Linked DNA regions of Lonchura striata. The protein of the gene in region 1 interacts with the protein of each later gene in a pairwise test. Links are inferred from orthologs where the notes say so. Each region holds a gene or a part of one and is shown on either strand. Other genes may lie near its edges.

Region 1 (7,719 bases):
TAAATCTCACCTTCCTGACCCACAGAAGCAATTGCCCCCTTGGTCTGGCAATGCAGCTCAGAAAAATAGGAAGAGCAGAATTTCTCCTGCATCTATCTATGCATTTTAGTGGCAACCCGTGCTTGGCTAAGACTGGTCAGCTGTAAGAGACTGATGAGAATTGTTTGAAATACTTCTGGTTGAAAAATATATGAATCAAAATTACTGGTAAAACAAAAGAGATGATGTATGTGACATGTATGAAGTATAGAATTAACCTAGAAAAATAAAAATAACCAAAGTTCCAGCCTACGACTCTAAATTTTTCAAATAATATAAATGCCACAAAACATAAATACACAAAACAGTAAACCAGTATACTGCAAGGTGACAGGATTTTCTCTACAGACCAGTAAGGGTTAATTTTCTTGAAGAAGTATAGGGGGCCATGAAAATTGTGAATTTAAACTCTCACCAATTTGAAATGCTATATTAAATAACACATAAAGGTAATTTTGTTTTCATTTCTTACTGACTACTATTCCTATTCCAGGTTCCTCCTTACAAAGGAAGGCACATTAAGGAAGAAGCACCCAGGAAAAAAAAATTAAGGGAAATACATTAGAGGAATGCAGCAGGTTTGGGGGAGAGACATATTTATGCAGAGAAAGTGCTTAAGCAGCGACATTGGTGGCTGTGTCTATGGGTACATAGAGAGGTTTGGTGAGCGCATGCCCAGGCAAGGAGGATTTGGTTATGGTCAGAATTTGTGAGTGACAGCCATGTGACAGCTGGGAGTCAGCAAAGATTTCGTAGGGATGGAAATTCCTGAGACAAGACACACGACTGCTCATGCGATCTGCATGTGCCTATCGTCATGCTATATTATAATAGCTGACACCATGGTTTACCAGTTTTCCATACAAGAGGCTATAAATTAGGAGAAGGATTTGAGGAACATTGGATGAGAAATTAAAGTCAGAACATTTAAAAACAAAGGGATAAATATAACTTCTTTTCATGTTATTGAAACAAGCAAACAAAAATCTCCAGTCAAACCACACACCATCAGTAAAATCTGCATTTCCATTATTTACCTTTAGTGACAGGTTATTATTTCCTTAGAATATATTTTTTTCTTACTAACTTATTTTTAAAGGTCTGAATCCTACAAACATACTTATTTTTTAGTATGGAATAATCCCACTGATTATTCATGTACTGTAGCTATTCCTACACTTTCAGGATCAGGGCCTAAGTCACAACGTACAATTAAGCAGAGGCTTTTCCAAAGAACTGTTTAATTTGCCCTTCTGGAGGTCTTACACGGACGTGAAGCCAGTGGAGATGTGCATTTAAATCAAACCTGAAAAACTGAAATACTTTCCCTTTAACACTGAATTCAAGCCAATAAAGTATCACATGACCTTTACCGTAATTTCTATTAAAATAATTTCATGTCTGGTTGCTTCTGCTATCCTGGCTCATTTGTATTGTTTACAACAAGTCATTGCTCTCGACAGTTAGTGGTGGCTGAATCCATGGTTACCAGTTTTTACATTCACTGGTTAAATGGAATGCAGCTCTTCAGTGGGGTTTCATGGAGAAAGCTCTTAAGAAATCACAGTCCAGCTATCAATCAGGCTAACCTGGGAGAAATTAATCTGATAAGCAGAAGTATTGCTGTGTATGAAAAATTTATTGAAAGGGAGCTCAAGGCATTTATTAGTTGGAGTTGCCAAAGTGGACACGTCTGGGTCAGACTTAGTACAGAGAAGACTTGGGTTATGAGGTCTATGTCTGACATTCATCCATGTTGTGCCTCCTCTGGCGCTCACTGCTAATACAACTATACTGTTCAAGGGTTTAAAAAAAATAAAAATCTCAAACACTTATTTCACCAGAAATGTGCTTGGAATATAAATAGTGCTTAAATACAGGTTTAACCAGACTGCAGTCCCGTCAAAGTAACTTAAATAGACACAGACAAGATAGTAAAACACAAAATAGACAGCCTTGAGTAGAATCCAATTAAGACAAAAAACACCCTAAACAGAGCAACATTGTTAACGACTAAATTAAGCCTGCAAACAAATATATTTTATTGCCACCTAAGAACAATACGGACTAATTCCGTTTGCCTTGTTATTTATAGTTTGGCGTAGGGTGGGGTTGCCAAAATCAAAGAGCAAAGCAGAAACTTATTTGCAAGATGGACCCCCAAATCCCTTAAAAATGCCTAAAAACATCATAAAAGTTCTTTACAGTTTGATGGCTACAATATTTGTCCCACAAGCTACATGTCAGCAACAAATAGTTAAATCAAACATATTACTACCAGCTCATCTACTGCAAAGTCACTGTATCAGAAGCCCGAATTGATTTGTTTCCTTAGAACAAACTGAAAATGAATGTAACATAACATCCGAAAAAAGAAATCCCTCCTGCTCTGCTAATCGGATATCATATAATGGTTGATTGCAGCTTTGCACCGTGCTATTGCTGCCTATATCATACATACTTACAGGTTCTGGGTTCTTCCAAGAGTTTGGTGCAGTTTCAAGGACAAATGTCTTAAGGAAGTCTTTCTACTGTGCAGCAGTGATCCTAGCTCTGATCTCATTACATGAGCAAAGTGCTACTGCTGACAATATAAAGGAAACTTCCTGCGTGAAGAAGAAATCTTGGAAAGTCTCAGGGTTAAAAAGGCTGCTTAAATGTGCTGCTTGATTTGCTCCCTAGTTGTGTATACACAGTAGCAGCTGATCTCTGTTTGCAGCCCTGCAGAAAGAAACCTTTGCTGAAAACCAATGGCATCACATTTCACTGGAGCTACTGCCAGGCTCTGAGGAGCAAAGCAACCTTTGACAACTTCACCCAGTTCAAACCTCCGGCGTTTGCTGCATGCCCTGCAGGACTTTTGAAATTGTATTTTTACTGCATTATTTTTATTAATGCCGCTCTGAAATCCTGCATCCCAGGCAGCCGTGATACAAGCAGAAGTCTCCCTCACTGTAATAGGAGGTTCTGACTGTGTCAGGACTGTGAACTGCAGAATTCGCCACAGTATCTTTTGCTTTGTCTTGATTGTGACATTTGCAGATGAGAAGCTGTTAGCTGCACTCAAAAGCATTTTCTGCCTTAGAATGTCTAAATTAAGTGCAACAGGCATCCTGTTTATCCTAAATTAATCCTGAGCCTGCCCTGCATCAGTCATGCACTGCTCGGTGCTTTTTTTTCTGATACAGAATACAAATCAAAAGATTTTGGAAGTGGAAGGTGGCTTGTTCTTTTCATTTAGTATTTTATCTAGAGTCAGATCTAGCCTGGTCCTTGTTGGATTGAAACCATGGAGCACAACATCCCAAATTCTGCAAAATTCTGACCAAAGCTTCAGTGGGGCTTCAGTATCTGCTAGTGCCCTCTTAGCTCCTGCCTTGGCCCTCCAGAACCAAACCAGGGATGGGCAGAACCTGCACCAGCTTCTGCAGCTCTTACTGCTGTCCAAGCAAATGGTAAGACCAGAAAAGCAACATTTAAGAATACGTGTACTAGAACTAGATTTCAACTCTTAACTGGGAAGCAATACTCCAAACAGATCCTCATATTTGTTGTTCAAGAATTATCAATAATTAATTCAGATGTAGTTGTTTCACCATTTAGCCCAGGGTGGTTCTCCAAAGAACAACTGGGACCACACATGCCCCTGGCACTCAGTCACAGCATGAGCTTGCATGCTGCTTCCCAAACAGGACCTACTTCTCTCTCCAGGACAGCCAGAAAACCTCAGAAACAAAATTTAGAAGAATCCCTTTTAAAAGTGCACCATCGCAGGGTTTGGTTAGGAGGAGTTGAGGTTTTTTTCCTGGGCATTTGTGAAACTGATTAATCACCACCCCTTTCTCCCCTCAGGCACTATGACTATTCTAGCTACTAGTATATTGCGTGTTATTTCTTTAATATTTTGAACTTTATTCCAAAGGGCAGAAACCAAAACTGACAGTACATCAAGACAACATGCTCTGTGATTCAAACAGCAAAATAATTGAGGTCCTGTGCATACACAACCTCCAAGTCTGTGTATGCACGTTGCACACGTGTGCACACACTCATTCACAAGCACAAACAAGTGTAAGGGCTTCTGGCCCAATTTTCTGAGACACTCATAGTTCATGTCCTCACCTCCCTTCAAAATAAAAAATGGTAAGAAGAAGCAAAATCTGATCAGTGAAACATCCAAAATAATTTTTGTTAAAAGTAGGCACCATTTACAGGAGGGGAACCATATTGATTTAACATGTGTTTCTCCCAGATTTATCTCTCTCCTTTGGGAAGGGGCTCCTGTCCACCCCTGGACTGTGTCACACCAGAGAAATGGAAGTGTGTGGTGGCATCAGCAGGTTTAATCTTGCTCTTCTCCCTCAAGGGACACTGCAAGGCAGCGACTCAAAATCCTGGTTACAAGGCAGGGCTCCCTGTCTGCCTGCGTCACCTCACACATAACCTCACCTTCCCCTGCCTAAGCTGACACCACCACATTTAATGCATGTTGCAAAAGCACAGCTTCTGTCCCTCTGTTGCTCAAGCAGTGAGAAAGGGATTGCATGCTGGAGAAAAGTAAAGGACTGAAGCTCACAGCTGTGCACCCTGCTCCCAGATGTGCCATACAAAGGGCCACGAGTGACCTTGATCCGCCTGCTCTCTGTGCTCCAGTGCCCAGCCTGCTGCCCACACTGCACATAACTCACTCACAGCACTTGTCCACCTGGTACCTTTTGACTCTAGTATAGCAAAAGAGGGTTTTTTATTCTGTTGGAAATTCAGCACAGAGTAAAACAAGTTATTTTTGCCAGGTGAAACTCAAGACACTAATTTAAAACAAGTAAAAAAAAAAAATCCCAGTGGATGCAGGAATTTCAGTGAATGAAGTTTCCTCCTCAACAGCCTCTAAATACCCAACTGTCAGCACAGAAAAGCTGAGACTTCTGAATGCTGCCTGAGCAGTAATACAACCATATCCAGTAGTCCTACCCACACAGACCCTCTTGTCAAGGCTGGAGGACATCCAGTCTGACTCCACTCCTCCTTACCTCTCCTATGTAACTGTGCCCCCTTGCCACAGCTGGGTCAATATAAATCCAGGGACGCAGTTCCTTCAGCTACCTTCTTTTGTAAAAGTATACATAGGCCAAAACATGGGACAAACTGGAACTGCAAAATCTTTCTCCACCCAGACTTCCCAGATACACCTCAACCTGCAGCACCCCGACTTCCCTTTTCTCTCCTTTCTGATTTTCTCTTGAATTTTGTTTTCACAGCATTGTATCCAGCAAGGAGAATAGTAACAATTCAAAGCCTATTTTCCAACCTTCAGAAGGCAGGGTAAAGTAGTCTGGCTATTAAGGCAGGACCACAAAAATGTTCAGAGAGGATGGGGAGCAAGAGCTAGGAGAGAAATGAAGGGGAGGCTGACCCTTGGCTTACGTGATGTCAGAAGCTTTAGGTCTCCATACCTCCTATCCCCAGTGGAAAAGGTAGCCCTTGGAAACCTATCCCACTGCCTGCTCTTCTAAAGTCTAAACTAGTACAGGTGTCCAAGATGGGCCATGCCCTGTCTCCCTGACGTCTGTCACTTGAAACAATTTAGAAAGCTTGTTTAATTCATGCCGGCCTTAAAATCCAAACATATCATCAAGAAGACGCTTACAGCTAATACCACAAATGAGAGCAGATTCTCCATTTTTACACAAACATTTGTTTTAGATTTTAAAACTTTGTTTCCAGCAGTCAAGTAATAAGAGACAAGCTTTCTCATTTAAAGAGATTTCTGGGTCTTGTAATTAAAGAGGAACAACTGAGGATAACTGCAATGAAACGAAGTCCAGCAGAAGCATAATGGCACTTTTCAAGTCACACCTTTCAGCTAGTCTCAAGATTTTCAATAAGCAGTTATCAGTTTTAATTATCAGTCTCAGAATCCAACAGTACACAGAGACTCCAAGAAACATATCCTACCTGTTTTATTCAGACACTTAGGACTTTGCTTAAATATTAAATCTGAAACTGTTAATCTAGACCTGTGATTCCTGCACAGGTCCCGAATGTATCCTTTCTTCCATCTATCCATATATATAGTAACTGTGACTACTGGATTTTCTTTTTAACTTTTAAATGAACATGGATCCTAATCAACATATGGAACACCTTATGCATCATCACAAAAATGAGTGGCTATATTCTTCTCCTCCATAATAGTTGCTTTAAACTAAAACTTTAAACCAAAACTAATACAATCATTGGGAACTGTGTATGCCTAAGCTATTTGCTATTCCCATTAGACGCTCTGCACTACTCAATCATTCAAGATTCTCCGTCCCATTGTATTAAATATGCTCATATTTTGTGCTATGAGTACAATTAAAATTGTCTGGGTTTTCACACAGTTCTTATTTTTTATTTGCTCTCTAAAATATCCAGCATGCATTGAAACCAGCATAGGTGATAATATAGATGTAAATATCACCATGGAGGATACATGATAAATTTGACGTTGGGAATAATTCATTCAAGGTATCTAGATCCAATTTAAATTCTTTTCCAATTTTAACTGAGCCTTCAATAACCAGATGAACTTAAACGAAGGTGTACAACTTCATGCTACACTGGTAAACCATCCTAACTAGGAAATAAATTTTCAGTGATTAAGTTGAATTGTTCATACAAAATGCCAGCTTCAGCTTTTCACCCATACAAAATAGCTTAGAAAATATATACTGCATGTGTTTATTATAGCTACAGTTGCTATGAACATCTATAACTCTCCAACAATTTCTTTGATTTATGTTCAAAAACATACAGGGCATGAAATGATGCCTGCAACCTTACATTTCCCTCAAGAACATTGTGGGGAGAAGATGTATTCCAAAACATCATGTTAGATTCCTTGTTATGTCTCCTTTTTAAAATAAATGTATGATAATCAATTACACATGCTTCAAAGCAACTGCCACTAGATTCCCCAACAGAAAAGCTGTTTGAGAAAAGTTCCATATTCTTTCCCCTAATGGTCAAGTTATAATAAGAGATCTTGCCTAGATATTAAAGGAAAAAAACGTATTGTAAAGGATAGGCCTTACTCCACTTGTATATGCATGCACAGATTTGTGCTTGCCTGGACTTGACTTAGAATAAGGTTTTCAGAGAAGTAACATCGCCACTGATCAACATGCTAAAAAAGGATGTGTGTGTGAAGATCTTGCACCTAATCTGCTTGTCATTTATGCTTGTAGTAATCCAAATGATGTCAAGAGAATGACACAGATGATAAGTTAATGTATCGGGCTCAACTTCCCTTTCAACCTCAATATGCAAAACATCCCTTTAAGAAGTCCACCCAGCTGTAGCCTCCACTAGAAACAGAAACCTGAAGATGTTTATAGGAATATCAATTAAGCTGAATGGAAGCTCTGCCATTAATGCCGGTGCACGTAAGATTGGACTTTGCAGATCTACCTGAACTCCACGCAGTGGCTGAAGTGCACGTTTTCTCTGGGGTATTGAGGCCAGTGGGCTATATGCCAGTAACAGGTAAGCATAATATGGATGGTATTTCCACAGTCTCATGGCTCAGGCACAAGGACAAGGGCAGCATCCCCAGGCAGCGCCCTTGCCCATGGTGAAAAGACAGGAGCAGCCGGGAATGCACAGGGTGAGTGCATAGACCACTCCCAGCACAGAAAA
Region 2 (7,795 bases), on another chromosome or scaffold:
TTGGGTGAATATTTAATAACCTTCACAAATTTGACTTTGTTAAAGTCAATAGAAGTAGTAAGAATACCAGTAAGATTGTGCATATTTCGAAAAACCAGGGATTACTCACCTTGAAAGTACAATGTAGTAAATATGTTCTTTATTCTAGAGGCACGGTAAAAGAATAGCCAGTCAGCTTTGGACATCAACATTCTCTACAACCTTAAAGCTTCTTTTGATGACCATAACCTTATTCCAAAACCATTGTGTTTAATAAAAATTGCTTTCAGAACTTGAAGAATATTTTATTATGGAATACAAAAATACTATCTATGTAAAAACAATAAGTTAGTTTATTTACAACACTTTACACTATCCTGCTCTGGAGCTTCCTTTGCACTGAACTTCTTTTCATTATTTTACACACCTTTATAATTTTAATTATAATTTTGCACAAAGCATTTCCAAAAGCATGTCATCCATGTTCACTGCTCCAATGATGGGCCTGAAGAATAATTCAGCAACCACATTAGCATTAATAGATCTTAACAAGGAGAGAACAACATTCAGCTTGGCAAATCTGGCTTCATCACCTCTGTGAATGAGTCTGACATGTTCATTTAGAGCTTGCTGTGCTTCCCTCTGCAACCCTTCAATGTACTGAGTACACTGCAGTCCAGGTAGATCTGAAAATGAAAAGAAATTATTTTGTTTATATATTCTTGTTTACAAAACAATATTATTCTTACAGAACAATTCCTAACAGCTCACAGACTGTAATTATCACTCAAGGAAAGAAGGAAATTAAATTGCTACAGGACTTCTTGAATGCAAAGTCAATATGCCAAATTTATTGTGCAGGTCAAATTCTTATCATATTGGTGTTTTGGATATTTAACACTCTTCTTCACAAACCTAAAATTTGTTGTTTGACAGCATTCACTTAGGTGTTAAACAAATTAGTTGATAAAACCTTTGAAGAATGTTCTCCAAAACACTTTTACAGTGGGGAAGACAACAAGAATAGCTTTTTTCAGTTTTTCACTTCTACAATAATGCACTTTTTACATTTAAGGCTTCTTTTGTCTACTGTTTCTACTCCAGTTTATGAGTGGCAAGAAGTAATGACTCCAACATGCAACAGGAAGTTTGCAAATGAACCGCAGTAAGGATACTGAAAGATGGAGGTGCAGAATTAAGGTTATATGTGATCATAGAACCATTTTGGATGGAAAATCCTCCAAGATCAGTGAGTTCAACAGTTAACCTAACACTGCCAGGTCCACCACTAAATCTTGTTCCTGAGGAACATATCTAGAGATTTTTGAACACTTTCAGGGATAGTGATTCAACCACTTCCCTGGACAGCTTGTTCCAGTGCTTGATGAACCTTTCAGAGAAGAAAATTTTCCTTCCAGAACAATGCCTCTATTTTTTGCATTAGACCAGCTTCCAAATTTGACTTGTGTTACATGAGCTCCACCTTAAGTATTGTAACTTTTTCTCTCTTATCTGTATAGAGAGCAAAGCTACACAAGCAGGATGATAAATGCAAAGTACCACTACAGGAACCTAAACCATCAGTAACTGACACTTTGGCAGTGGGAGCGCCAGCAGAGCCCTGTCCCACTTTCACACGGTACTGCACACTTGGGAAGTACCAGATCCAGCCTGCCAGCTACTTTTTCAGGTCAGTCACCGACGTGATAATAAGTCACTCGGTAGAGTTGCATCTATGGGAGTCTCCACAAAGAAAGATGGAAAAAAAAAAAACAAAACAAAACAAAACAAAACAAAACAAAACAAAAACACCAAAGAAACCCCGATCATAAATGCTACACCAAAAGCCACAACAGCACTTTGTTGCAGGAAGCCTCGAGCCTCCCCTTGCTCTCCGGGGCGCGCAGACCCCCGGGCACGGCCCGGGCAGAGCCGCTGCCCTCGGGCCGGGGAGTGGAGCTGCCGCCGCTCCCGCTGAGGGAAACAAGCAAGGAGCCGCTGCTGTCTCCCAGCCTTCTCCACCCGACTGCCAGGCGCCGGGAATTCGCGGAAAGCATCTGTGGAAAGCGCCAGCCCCCAGGACCCCAGACCGAGCTGCAGCCGGACCCTCGCTGCCTGCGGCCGGGATCTTGAGGAAGGGGGAGAAGGTGAAACCTTGCTCCCCGTCCCTCTCCTCCAACACCTTTTTCACCCCGAGGAAAGCCCCGGGTCTGCCCCGTTTCCCTGGGGACACAGGCGGGCTCTCCCCGCCCTCCTCGCTGCCCTGTGGCAGAGACGCCGCTGCCCCGCCCGGCCACTCACCCGGGTTGAAGAGCACCGTCCCCTTGAGGTAGGCGTACTCTTTGGTGCTGATGTCCAGGCTCCAGCACTTGGCCAGGAAGCCCTTGATAGCCTGGATGTCGGCGGGCGAGGGCAGGGGCGGGCCGTGCTGCGGCCGGCCCGGTGCCGGTGCCGGCGGCCGCGGCTCGCCCTGCTGCCGGGCGGTGAGGATGCGCTGCAGCATGCTGGGCTCCGCGCTCTCCACCGTCTCCAGGTGCACCCGCTCCTGCGCCAGCCCCAGCAGCAGCAAGGGCGCCCAGCAGCTGCGGACCAGCAGCAGCTGCTCCTCCAGCGGCAGCTCCTGGAAGCAGGGCACGTTCTGCACGAAGCGCAGCGTCTTCACCAGCACGGCCGAGGCCGCCTTGCAAGCCACCTGCGGGCTCCGCAGGGCCACCCGCCGCCGCGACCCGCACGGGCAGCCCCGGGGCGCCGGCCCGGCGGGCGGCAGCGCCCGCTCCTCGCTGCGGAGGATGCTGTAGAGGATGCTGCCGTGCCGCCGGCCCTCCGCGCAGCAGCGGCACGCCATGGCACCCGCGGCTCCGGCGCCCGGGGCCGGGCTGAGCCGCCGGGGAGGCTCGGCGGGGCGGTCCCTGCCTCCTGGGCGCCGCTCGCCCTCTGCCCGGCTCCCTAACTTATTTATAGCCGGCGGGGGCGTGTGCGTGTCTGTGTGTGTGTGCAGCCGCAGGCGCTCTACCGGCCGTTCAGAGGGGCAGACACTCATTTTCCACTGGCTGGAAAAGAGGCGGGGGGGAGGAGGAGTGATGAAAAAAAACAACGAAACCCTCCTCCTCCTCCTTCCCTGAGGCGGAGATACCCGGGGGGAGCCGGCGAGCCGGGCGCCTCTGCCCGCAGGCTGCGGCGCGGCGAGCGGCAAATTGCAGCTCCCGCGGGATGTCCCTTCCCGGCCCCTCTTTCCGAGTCCATCCCGGCTGGTGTTACGCCGGGATGCTCCGAACAGGGCAGGGCAAGGCAGGACACGGCAGCTCCCGCCGCTCTCTCGTTTTGCCGCCGTAGGGAGCAGCTCCTGCCCCCGCGGGACCCCACCGAGAAATGACCGCCGGCCCCGCTGCCTTCACAAGCACCCGAGAGGTCTTCGGGAGGAGAGAGAAAGGGTGTGCTGGGGAAGAAAGGAGCGCTGAATTGGTCTAAATAATTAAATTCCCGCTGGAAGAGAAAAAGGTGGCGCCACTAATGACATCGAGGACTTTCGTGTATGCCTGCCCTAAGGAGTGATGCCTGCCTGTTGTGCCAAATGAACTCCACAGTGCTGCCATGCGGGGACAGAGAATCGGACATGTCCCTGCCCAAATGGGTGCTCTGTGAGGGTTGCAAACCAGGCTCTGTCAGGGTGCCCTGAGGCTGGTGCAGCTGCATAGCCCACTGGGATCCCTCATGGAACCATTCCCATTAATAATTCCCTTGCTCTGCCTTTCAACACATGGCCCATCTTTCTGATGCCGTTTTCATTATCCCTTCAGGCTCTGCTTCTCCATGAACTTCTCCTCTTAGATACTTACTTTTTTTGTGACCCATGTCCTCCAAGTGTCATATGAACTCCAAAGGAAGCCTCCCATCCCTCCAGGCCTTGGTGTTTACACAGGAGGGACAGGGGAATCATGATTGTCCAAATGTGGACTCTGGAATGAAAAATAACCACCTTCTCAACTGGACTAAATAAAAGTGGATGCAGCAGAGTGGAGTAAATAAACATTACAGAAAATAAAGTTACTTTTATCTGCTGCTTATCACCTAAACCAGACATGTTTTCTGGTTCATGTGATCTGGAAGAACCTTGACAGAGAGTTAGAGAAAGTAGCCAGTTTTAAGCAAAATTCTGTACCTTCTGCTACCAGTATCTCTACCAAGAGAAGACTAAATCACCCTTGGAAAGCTGCATTTTCTTTCCATAAAGGCGTTTTTCTTTGCTGTTGTGTTTTGGGTTTTGGGGTTTTTTGTTTGTTTTCATTTTGGAGGTTTTTTTGTTTGCTTGTTTGGGTTTTTTTTTAAGCAAATACTATTGAGTGTTTTGGATTTTGTAGAAACACAACAATTTTGAGCTAGTTCTTGGCAATTTCCTTTCCCTGTGAAGTCAGTCCTACCCTATCAGCTTACACCGATATAGAGTCATATAGTCTTTTTCCTCTAAGTCTTTCTTCACAATTGGACTCAGAGGGGATGTTCTTTACAAATGGCTTTTACAAATGACTTGTGCTTTTTATAAGGCACATTTTTATAAAGTTGTATAAAACACTGATGGGCTATCTGTCTCAAGTAAACCTTGTTTTCCAAATGCAGGCTGTCCAAAACCTAGATTATCATGCTTTTGGTTTTACCTATGAAATGTGTTTTCTTTTCCACAGACTCAAACATTATAAAGCCCTTTATTGGCTTTGCAATAGAAGAGAACTGCTACAGTGCACCAATTAAGTGATGTCTAAAGTTTGCTGACAGGTCAGTGGTTTCACCAAACATCCTTTAAGAAAGAAAATATGCTAGATTTACAAAAGAAATGTACTAACACTAAATATTACCAAAGTTTTCATTTGGTAATCATCCCTGGTAATGACAAAACAGTCATTTATTTGTCTAGAATATTTCTTTGCCATTCTAGGTTGTTTCTTGTTATAGTCATCCATGTTTCCACAGCATTAGGATTTTAGATGGTTTCTTTCAGCCTTTTTAGTCTTTTTCCTTTTAGGGTATTTTTTTCTTTGGGAGGGGTTGTTCACAAACTTCAGAGGTAAGTCTTGCCAATTTTTAGGAAAAGAGCATCTCTAAGTTTTCAGTTGTGTTCAGTAGCATTTCTCCTATGAGGTACAGATTAGTAGTCTGACTGTGGAATCTAGCTGGGTTTTTTATGAGTTTGTAACTTGAAAAATATCTATGGGAAAGCACAGTGCAGCTGAGACTGGAATCACTGCCTTTGCAGCTTTGACCTTGGACTGCAACTGTGGGAATGTTCTGCTTATTATGGGAGGATGCTGCTTACACAGGGCTATAGACAAAGGAAATACTTGTAAATATAACTTTTATACCAAGTCTACAAGAGATTTGTTTTCCCTATGCAGAAATATTGGTTGCAGGTGTTTAATTATTCAAGGTATTTCTTTTTCAAACAAGTCTCAAATGTAGATGCAATTCATCTGTTATATAATGATTTTGCTGACTCTTTGTCTTCTAAACAAACTTATACAAAAAGACTTTGTCTTTGATAATTATAACAAAATGTGTACCCCACACTGGAACCGAAACTTGGTTTACTATTCAGTGCCAGAAATTACATTGCTGTGGTTACAAGTGTACTTCCTTCTCTGACAAGTGCATTTAAACACTCATTTCCCTCATCCTAATTCTTAATGTATTCTGATATACATGGAAGTCTATTTTATTCAGGGTAGATGATCTATTTCTGAGCTCAAACATTAAGAATGTTTTAATTTATTTATCCTATAAATATTTATTTGTGTTTTTCATGTTGATATTTAGCATTTTGTACAGTCTTTATTTAAAAATCTGGGTTCTGCCTTTCCATAGCATTCAAGCTAAATTAACAACAAATCATTCTATTCACAGCCAAAACCAAAATCCCTAACAGAAACTAAACTGTTTGATGGAAAATGCATGAAAATCCTTTTAGAATAAAGGGGAAGTGCCTGGTTTCTGCTGGAAGATCTGATGTTACATGGGTATTACCAAGCTCCTTGTGGTACAATCATGAATAAGTTTACAAGCTTCCAGACCAAGGATTACTTGTTTGTATTGTTTGTGGCTTTTTTGGATTGATTTTGTTTTGGGTTGGTTTTGTGTATATGTGTGTGTGGCTACAGGGTTTTTTTAACTCAGACAAAGCCTTGGATATGGAGGTGATACAGTGCAGTCTTGGCAGCCTGGCTCTCTGATGTTGCTGCTCAGTGTCTCTGTATCACTCATCTGGTAGCACATTTGGTTCTTGGCCAGAGGGCAAGCCTTCAGTTTCAGAACAAGACCAAACAAGCATTTGTTTTTATGCCATCAGTGCTTCAGTGCACCATAAGCTTGAGAAAAACTTTTTTCCAGTGTAGAATTTGATCCTGATGTCCTATGAATGAACACTATTCCTTTTAGTGTAAGTGGTGAAAAATAAAATTTTATTTTAAGATCAGATGTAAAGTAGATTCAATTTGGTGATTAGCATAAGAGAAGTTAACTTTTTGCTACAGAAAAACAAAGTTTAATGTGGAATATTGTTATAAGGATATGATAAACAATATGTCTTGTGTAAAATAAATGCTTTATTAAAACAAGGTTTTGGAACTCAATTATGCTGCTGCTTGTCATTCTTTTCTCATTGTGACTATCCATTAGTTAGACTAATCACCATTCACATGTCCCCTGTTTTTTTCTGGGGTGTTTTTTTGAAATGTGGGGATTAAGGGAAAAGTAGTTCTACCTATGTGCTGTACCACACACACTACTGTCCCCTTCCTGGAGGGACAATGGGTTCCTTAGGAGGAGGATACTGGGAGCCTGAGCCAAAGATGGTTGAGGTGGACCCATGTGAGAGATGATGACCAGAATTTCCAGAGCTTTTTCAGTTTCCCTAAGGCTGTGATTTGACAGTGTTTCTGTATCCCACCACCAGCTCACCTCACGATATGTGCTTGATCTGGAGCAGGGTGAGAATATGGTGACATTTTTATAGAATTAGCCAGAGTATGTAAAAAGGAGTTTAGCTCAGGTTTAGACCTTCCTGCCGGCTGCTTGAAAGTAGATGATGTCTGATCTGGTAAAAACTGTAATGGTACAAAATCAGCCTTTTAACATACCTTAAAGAAACCAGAACATGAAAAAGGGACTATGTTGTTGTTGTTGTTATTTTCAGATCAGTTCTTTGTAAAATGTGGCCATGACAATTTGAATTCAGAAATAACAATTCTGAACTTCAGTTTACTCTTATTGGACCATGCACTCCACTGTCATATTTCCACTGTCAGATAGCAAATTTAAGGAGGCCTCATATACTCTAGGCCTGGCCTTTTTTCCTTGTACCCACATGCTAACTTACCTTAGCTAATGCTAGGTTATTCTGTTAGTGTTAACTAGGTTTTGGGGTAGGCAAAATAAGGGAAAGAAGCAAACTTGTAAACTTTTTACAGTGAAAGACACTCAGTTGTTTCCCATAAAAAAAAAAGATTAATTGATCTTTGGGGTCTGTAAAAAGCTGTGGACCCCAGCAATCCAAAACTGTACATTTAGATATGCAATTGGGGTTTCAGTGTTTAGATATATGTCATAACTTATATTTTGGCCCAAAGTGGGTTCATGGGGCTCCCAAAATCTGTCAGTGTGCAATGCTTCAGGCTGCAGTCCCCTAATCCCTCCTGAGCCAATCTGGCAGCTCACTGGAGCTGAGAGGTGACTCCCACACAAGTGTTGCTGCTACTTTCTTTGCCCCAGCTCTGGCACACATCTGATCCTTCGCTGAACCAATCTTTCTAACCTGGAAGCATTTTTGTGA

The links.
Region 2: the proteins of ESRRG (region 1) and NR0B1 interact in binary tests that used the Homo sapiens proteins (3 or more experiments, as listed by UniProt). The link is inferred for Lonchura striata from reciprocal best matches to the Homo sapiens genes ESRRG and NR0B1.

What each region holds. Positions count from the first base shown.
Region 1 is NC_134605.1:9,921,799-9,929,517, reverse strand, and holds the start of ESRRG (estrogen-related receptor gamma), read right to left. Parts: upstream 3,003-7,719; 5' UTR 2,603-3,002; coding exon 2,505-2,602; intron 1-2,504. UniProt on the Homo sapiens protein: Orphan receptor that acts as a transcription activator in the absence of bound ligand. Binds specifically to an estrogen response element and activates reporter genes controlled by estrogen response elements.
Region 2 is NC_134604.1:106,123,993-106,131,787, forward strand, and holds the start of NR0B1 (nuclear receptor subfamily 0 group B member 1), read right to left. Parts: upstream 3,020-7,795; coding exon 2,281-3,019; intron 666-2,280; coding exon 421-665; 3' UTR 1-420. UniProt on the Homo sapiens protein: Nuclear receptor that lacks a DNA-binding domain and acts as a corepressor that inhibits the transcriptional activity of other nuclear receptors through heterodimeric interactions.